Tribolium castaneum: one gene and its partner. The protein of the gene in region 1 binds, or shares a complex with, the protein of each later gene. Links are inferred from orthologs where the notes say so. Each region holds a gene or a part of one and is shown in the gene's direction. Other genes may lie near its edges.

The links. Proteins that work in one complex are often made in the same cells at the same time.
Region 2: DNA replication complex GINS protein PSF1 (region 1) and Mcm5 share a complex: the UniProt entries of both Homo sapiens proteins name them as parts of the CMG helicase complex. The link is inferred for Tribolium castaneum from reciprocal best matches to the Homo sapiens genes GINS1 and MCM5.

Annotation. Positions count from the first base shown.
Region 1 is NC_087400.1:16,460,354-16,463,412, reverse strand, and holds DNA replication complex GINS protein PSF1, read left to right. Parts: upstream 1-1,479; 5' UTR 1,480-1,572; coding exon 1,573-1,644; intron 1,645-1,695; coding exon 1,696-1,760; intron 1,761-1,814; coding exon 1,815-2,268; 3' UTR 2,269-2,418; downstream 2,419-3,059. Other genes in the region: PWWP domain-containing protein 2A, read left to right, coding at 1-2. UniProt on the Homo sapiens protein: Required for correct functioning of the GINS complex, a complex that plays an essential role in the initiation of DNA replication, and progression of DNA replication forks.
Region 2 is NC_087396.1:20,934,095-20,938,376, forward strand, and holds the start of Mcm5 (DNA replication licensing factor Mcm5), read left to right. Parts: upstream 1-1,399; 5' UTR 1,400-1,546; intron 1,547-1,944; exon of another isoform or gene 1,945-2,659; coding exon of another isoform or gene 2,660-2,786; intron 2,787-2,840; coding exon of another isoform or gene 2,841-2,956; intron 2,957-3,005; coding exon of another isoform or gene 3,006-3,221; intron 3,222-3,542; coding exon of another isoform or gene 3,543-3,833; intron 3,834-3,888; coding exon of another isoform or gene 3,889-4,083; intron 4,084-4,133; coding exon of another isoform or gene 4,134-4,282. Other genes in the region: Ada2b (transcriptional adapter 2B), read left to right, coding at 35-166; Pli (protein pellino), read right to left, coding at 2,660-2,786, 2,841-2,956, 3,006-3,221, 3,543-3,833, 3,889-4,083, 4,134-4,282. UniProt on the Homo sapiens protein: Acts as a component of the MCM2-7 complex (MCM complex) which is the replicative helicase essential for 'once per cell cycle' DNA replication initiation and elongation in eukaryotic cells.

The DNA of each region.
Region 1 (3,059 bases):
AATGAAGCATTTTTCTCCTCCTTGTTTGGTGGAACATACAGGTTTTGTTGTAGCGTGTTTAAATCACGCTCATCACCCTGTATATACTAAATGTGTTAATAGCTACTACTGCGCATTGATGTATTCTTTTTTATAAAGTACTTTATATTTATACAGAAATATTTGTATGCAGCAGGCGTAACATGTTTCTTATTTTAATTCCTGATATTGTATCATCTCTTGTAAAGAATATTTTTTGTGATAACTTTGGATGATTGTTTTCATATTGAAGTGTTTTATTCAAGATTTTTATAGGGTTAAGTCATAGTTACTACTATCTGTTAAACAATAATCAATATATCTGTGATTTTATTCCTTTAGAAACATGTAAGTAGTAAAATTAAATTAATAAAGTCATTTGGTACTAAGGCCTATTTTTTCAACTACAATTTTCAGTTGACAAGACTGCATTGTGCAAGACCCGTCATGAAATATTACCATCGAACTAAAAAAATTAACAAAATTTTCCAAAAGTGATAAAAAAAATATTTAGTTGTCCCATTTCATTTCTTAATAGCATAATTTTTGGAACAATTTGCCCCAAAAATAAAATTAAAAATGTCTATTTAGTTAAGTATTCATTGTTATTATTAGATATTATAATATTACTCTTATACTTGGTTGCTAAAAAGTATGGATACAGTTAAATATTAAATAATAATTAATTGAAATCTTGTATTTGCTTAAAAGTACTGTTTAAATTCTATCGTTTTAGATGTCTATAAAATTTTCATTTACATTAATTTTGTTTCTGGGGATACAAGGCTAACTTTTTTTACACAGCAAGAAGGGTCAAATTTATTTTTTTAGTTCTTGATGTAACACATGCTTATCTCATTAAAAAAATATCTAACTAATAAAATTTTCTCTGCTTTGGAAATGTTGTCTTTATCTAACGTTAGCTCGTTTCCGCCTGAACTTTGACCAAAAAATAAGTTAAAGTTAATAATGGTTATTAAATAACACTTTTGTCTGTAAAAGAACACATTTTAATAAAAAAATTAGCTGTAGCCATACTTATTAGCCACTTTGTAAGAGCATTGACTGTCCATCTAGATTGCTTCTTCGTTAATTTATTATACGAATATTTTGCCATCAATTGTTTAATTATCTTCAAAAAATGTTTTTTGTAGTTACGACTTTTTTGCTTCGAAACTTCAAGAAAATTTGTATTTCAATTGTCGTATATTGAAAAACAGCACTCTAAAAAGATATGCATAAAATAACGTGCCAATATCATTTTTGCAAATAAATCGTTTATTAAAGTTCAAAATTTCATACTTCAATTATATGAAATAAAGATACCATAGAAAATTTAAGAAACATGAAATAACTCAAAAAATACGTAAAAGTAGTGACGAAATTTTTGCGTAGTAGGGCAGCATAACTTACCGTAGATGTGACATCACACAAGGATACGCGTGATTCGTGTAAACCCGCCTTTAGTTGTGGCCTGTCATTATAAATGCACCTTTACTGTCATTTGGCGGGCTTTTAGGTTAGAAAACTATTTAGACAAAATTTTAAATCGAAATGTTTTGTGAGAAAGCCCACGTTTTGATCAAAGAATTATCTCGAAACCGGGACGCTTTACCGCCTTACAACGTAAAAATTACCAAATTGTTCCTCACTCAATATTTTACAATTTTTTTTCAGACTGATCTTCTCAATGAAATCAACACTGAAGTCAAGCAACTCATTACTCAAAACCAAGAAGATGCGTAAGTTTACACACTTGATCCTCGAAACCAATACTTCAGCGTTTTTTTTTTCAGTCAAATTTCTGAAGATAGTCGGGTTATGAATCACGCCTCTTATTTACCTACAGTCAAAATACGGCATGCGGCTATCAAACGGAACATTCGATGCATTCTGGCTTATCACTACAATCGGTTAAAATGTCTCAGAAACATGCGCTGGCAATTCGGCAGTATTTTACCGCCAGATGTTAAATCGAATTTAAGTCAATCGGAAATTGAATGGTTTTCGAAATATTCCAGCAATTTAGTACAATATATGCGATCAATTGGTGATGAAGGGATTAATTTAGCTGTGGATTTAAAACCGCCAAAGTCTTTGTATATTGAGGTCAGGTGTCTAACGGATTATGGACAGTTTGAATTGAACGATGGTTCGGTGTTGTTATTGAAGGAAAACAGTCGTCATTACTTACCGAGAAGCGAATGCGAGGAATTAATACGACAAGGGGTCCTTGAACACGTTGTTTGAATTTGGCGCCTTTTTTTTAAACATCAAATGTCCTTGAAAATATTTAAATTACCTTATTTTTGTACGTGGTGATTCAATACTAAATAATTAGTTGTAACATAATCTTAAATTAATCTTATTTCGTAAAATAAAAGCGTCCAGTGTCGCCAACTCTGATTAAATTCCATGTTTTAGTGTTTGTAAGTAAATTGATACCTGAGTTATACACGGTGATTCTGTTAGGGCCTACATTAGTAACTTTTAACTTGTAATATAGCTAGAGCTTTAAAATTTTGTACACGATCTAAATCGACTATTCTGAATTCAACTTATTTTTTTTCAAAATGGCTGAGCTTTCGGAACTACAAAAAATTGGCGCCAAGTTTGAAGTTAAATCACTACTTCGCAGTTTTCATAGTTAATCAAGTAGAACTTGCAAAATGGTCAACAATTGTCAAACTTATTTAATTTTTAGCTGGTTCATTATCAAATAAGCAGTAAAACAATAATATTTAATTATGTTTCATTATAATTTTGTGAATTATGTAAAGTAAGGCAGTTTTACGGTTGACAATACAGAAGATTTTAGAAGATCTTTCAAACCTTTGGCTATCAAATGCAAAAAGAATTATTCACTTATTATAAAGGGTTCACGAGCTGTGATATTTCAAATGAACCCCTGCAAATCAAAATTTATATAAAAAAAATTGACATATGATAATTTCTCGTAGTTCCGGAAAATCAGCCAGTTTAAAAATACTAATTTAGTTGAACTCAGAATGGTCGATTTGGATTGTATACAAAATCAGAAG
Region 2 (4,282 bases), on another chromosome or scaffold:
TGTTTGATTGGGTTTAATTGTTTTTTTTTAATAGGAAAATCTCTTGTCTCCGAATCGACACCGTACCGTTGAAATTGATAAAAATTCGTCTGAAGTTAGTGTTAAAGATGTTGTTACGCAATATCTTAGTCACAGTGGCTGGCTTCCAGGGGTTTCTGTTGTCTGATCTTTGATTATGTAAAATTGGAATTAATTTTTGTTTGTCACGATATTTTAGTTAGCTGGGTTAACACTGATGGGTTAGTGTCTTTTTTAGTGTAATCGACACTTAAAAATTGTTGTAGTGGCATAATTGTATGTTCCTTTATCATGTATTCGGAAGTAAAATTACCGTTGGGGGCGCCACTGAGCTAGGTCGAAAACAGTAACCATAAATGGCGGGAAAATGTTTATTCGGATATTTTGAGCGTTGTACGAATTTTGGGGCTTCACAATTATTACATTGCCTATGCGGAATGATTATTTCATCTTTGATGCAAGAAACTTATGTTGACAAATGAGAGATGACGAGGAAAACACGAATAACGAATGACTGTTTGGTTCACTTTCTTTATTGGAAAATTATTACAAAGACATTGAAAAGCCTACCTTTTGGCATAATTTACGTTTAAATGTATCAGCAGTTGTTAATCTTTATTGTAGTTTTGTAGATTTACCGCAGCATTTCATGATTTTTTCAGTGGAAAATTCTAACCTAAAATTCATAACACTTCACTAATTTATTGGTTTCTTGAGCCAAACTTTGTGTTCGCTGTGATCCATTACTTATAATCTTTAATTAGACAACTGTTTGATAACACTTTGTAATCAAAATTTAAATATTTTTCACTTTTTATCCACTTTCAAGTTCCAACAATAAACACTTTATACCACGAAAAACTACAGAACCAAAGTCAACGCTAGTATTTACCACCACGTACTTTTAAAGTAATTCTTTCTATTGTAAGTAATTAACACTATACACGCAAAATTGTTGAACAATTCATTAAATGTCAGTTAAATGTGGCATTACGAAAATTTCTTTACTGTTTTCGACATAGTTCAAAAGTCATCACCAGAGGGCTTCTAGTTAATTTTGTTTCCGAATTAGGGTGTTGAAAAATTATCAAAGTATTTATTTTTACTTCAAATCATGTTTACATAATTACAGTTAATGTAAGGGTACCATTATTTTAAGACTGTTTGTATATATTGTAGATTTTAGTGAAATTAAAGCAAATGACTGAGTCTGGTGTTTTTTTTACAAATTGAGGTAAGGAAAACTTGGAAATAACGGGCGATAGTATCGGAGTATTTTGCAATTGAAAATTCAAAAGTTTGATTTAGGCGCTGTGACATCTAGTGATTTAATTGTATTAATGTTGGTAATGAAACAATTGGCGGTGGGTCAAATTTAATGGTGGTCGCATTTTCCACAATTTAATTCGAAGAAAAGGTGTTAATGCGTGTATTTTGGACAAATATTTACAGAAAAATGTGAAAAGACTGAGTGTTTCGGTGTGGAGTGGTTAGTCTTGAGAAAAACGGCGGCTTCGGTGTTTTTCAAGTAAGTACAAAATTTGGTTAGTAATGGCTGTGGTAATGGTTAACTTCTAAGACAATTTTTTTTTCAATTTTTATCAAAGACATTATGAGTGAAACTAATATGGATTTAGTGAAAATGTGTGTCTTTTGGTCGTAATTTTTGGGTTCAATGACCCCAACGATGGCAAATTTCCTTAATACGAAATTCACAGCCGCCTAGATCGCAAAAATTATTAAAATTGGCTCACAAAAACGTTTAATGTAAAATTACGAAGTTAAATCGTAAAAAAACGGCGACGAAATGCTGTTAAACACTCGGACTCTTATTAAACTTTCGTAACAAATTCGAGTCCTTGGGGTAATATTTTGTAATATGTTATTGTTAAACATGTTTGTGGGGTTATAAATAACAACAAATAGTTCAATTTTTAAACTTTTTTTAGTGAATCCAGGCACAGATAAATTCATTTCGTGGGACTATAGTAGCTTAAATATTAACTACGGCAACTTATCGTCTAGTATATACAAAAAGTGACTAACGGAGAAACTTACAGGGTGTCTCAAAATTAACGAATTCCGAGTTCAAAGCGTTGTAGAGAATCCCTTCAGTAGTCCCAATGTAAAAACAAAATGAAGATTTGGGACTTCCCCGCAGAGACATTGGTTGAAACCCAGAATCTTAATTTTTTTTTCTATATTTGGACTATTGAAGCAATTCTCTACAAAGCTCTGAACTAAAATTCGCCAATTTTGAGACAGCCTGTTATCACGATAAAATCAAAAAATCTGGGTCAATTAAGTATGTAAAAATATTTTTTTTGAATAAAACATTGCATTAACAGGTCGATTTATATTAAATACTTATTACATTATAAGCTAAATCCTAACCAGTCTTAACGATTCACGCATTTGCACTGTAATAAACCGCAATTTCCATTAAAAAAATCATGATATGATACAACTGCAATTCTCGGCTCGCTCCCATCTTCAAGTGCAATTATATACAATAATTACAAGTAATTACAATTGGGTAATTTCCAAAAAATTAATAAATGAGACTGCTAAAAACCAATTATACATTAAATAAAAGAGCAAAAACATAAATAAAGCTTTGGTGGACTACTCTACATTCCTTTCAATCCACATTATCCTGGAAAATTAGGCGGACGTACCCCGGAGACCCCGCCAGGGGCGAAGCGCAAAAGGGGCACACGGCGTGAAACCCATTCGTACCATGCGGAATAGCCACATTTGCCCAGTACCTGCAATAAACGTACATTAACCCAATCAAAAAATAATAATAATAATAAACTCACTTGACGGTCTTTTCGGTGGCCATGTGCCCGCACGGGTTGAACGCGAACGTCGGGGGCCCCGAATCGACATAAAACGCCGGCTCGAGCCCCATAAAGACCTTCACAACCGGTCCCAACTAAAAAAATACGTCAGAAATTTCGCAACTAAATTGGAAAATCGGTTACTTCTAGGCAAATGGGGCACTTTCGGGCGCCCGAATCCTTGTCTTGGCCCCAATCGTGCAAGCCTTGGACGTGTCCGCAGTTGAGATAAACGTAAGGCTGTTGCAGGTTTTCGTTCGGTGTGACTTTTCGGGGAATGACTAAAGTGTTCAAGCCAACGGGGCACTGCGGGCGACCGGCGTTGATTTCGTCGATTTCGCGCTCCAGGTCGCGTTTGCTCTGAAAATTAGACGAAAAACAAATTGTTTTACCCGCCACTGAGCTGATTTTCTATTGTTATTGTGGCGGTTTTTACCGTGGCAACTGTTTGTTACCACAGTTACAGACATATTGCAGCGCATTTCTATGGCAACTTTAGGAACCCACCCACATGGGCGGCTCGTTTAGATATAAAAGGCAATTTATTTTATTTTTTTCAAAAATTAAACTTCAAAATACCTGCTTGTGATTTTTTGCAAAATAATTAAAAAACATTTTTTGTTAGACGATTAGGGATTCAAAACAAGTATCTTAGTGATGATTATTTAACTGGTCTATTACCGGCGATTTTGTGAGCCCCTCTGCCGACCTCCACAACAGCGTAGCCCCGCACAAATCGATCAAAGTCCCATCTTCCAAAATATTCGTCTCGTTTTCCACCACTTGGCCCTTCTGTTGGGCCGACCTTGACTCCCTCAACGAAAACACACCTCCACCAACAGACGTCTCCAACCAATAACTACACTTGGCATCTCCCCCACAAAACGTCCCTCTTGGATGCATAATTAACACACCATTCGTGGTCAAACCGTCGATTTCGCGCCCGTTTTCCTGCCATTTCGTTGCTTTCTCCTGCAAAAAAAAAAACATCACACTATTTTTTTCCATTTAATCATTGTTAAAATACCCCGAGAAATATGTTTTTGGAGGTGTCAAAACCGGCGGCGTATATCCTCGCAATTTTCGGATTCTTCCTATCGCATAAAATCCGACACGCAAATCGCGATATCGTGCTTTGCATCACCTTGGTTTCGCCAGTCTTGTCCCCGGGGACGGTGTCCATGACCACGAAGTCGATGGGGGCTTCCGACGAACGACCGATCTAAAGAAAAAAATTGGCAACACTCTAAAATGCAAAAAACGCTCAATTACTTGAAACATGTCGGTGTCATCGTCGGGGGTGTATTCCACTATGACGGCATGGTTGCGTGAAAGTGTGTAGGATATCGAGTGCTGGTTTGCGTCCAGGATGGCCTGAGACGAATGGGGCGTTTTGACGACATAGTGTTTCGATCTCTTGA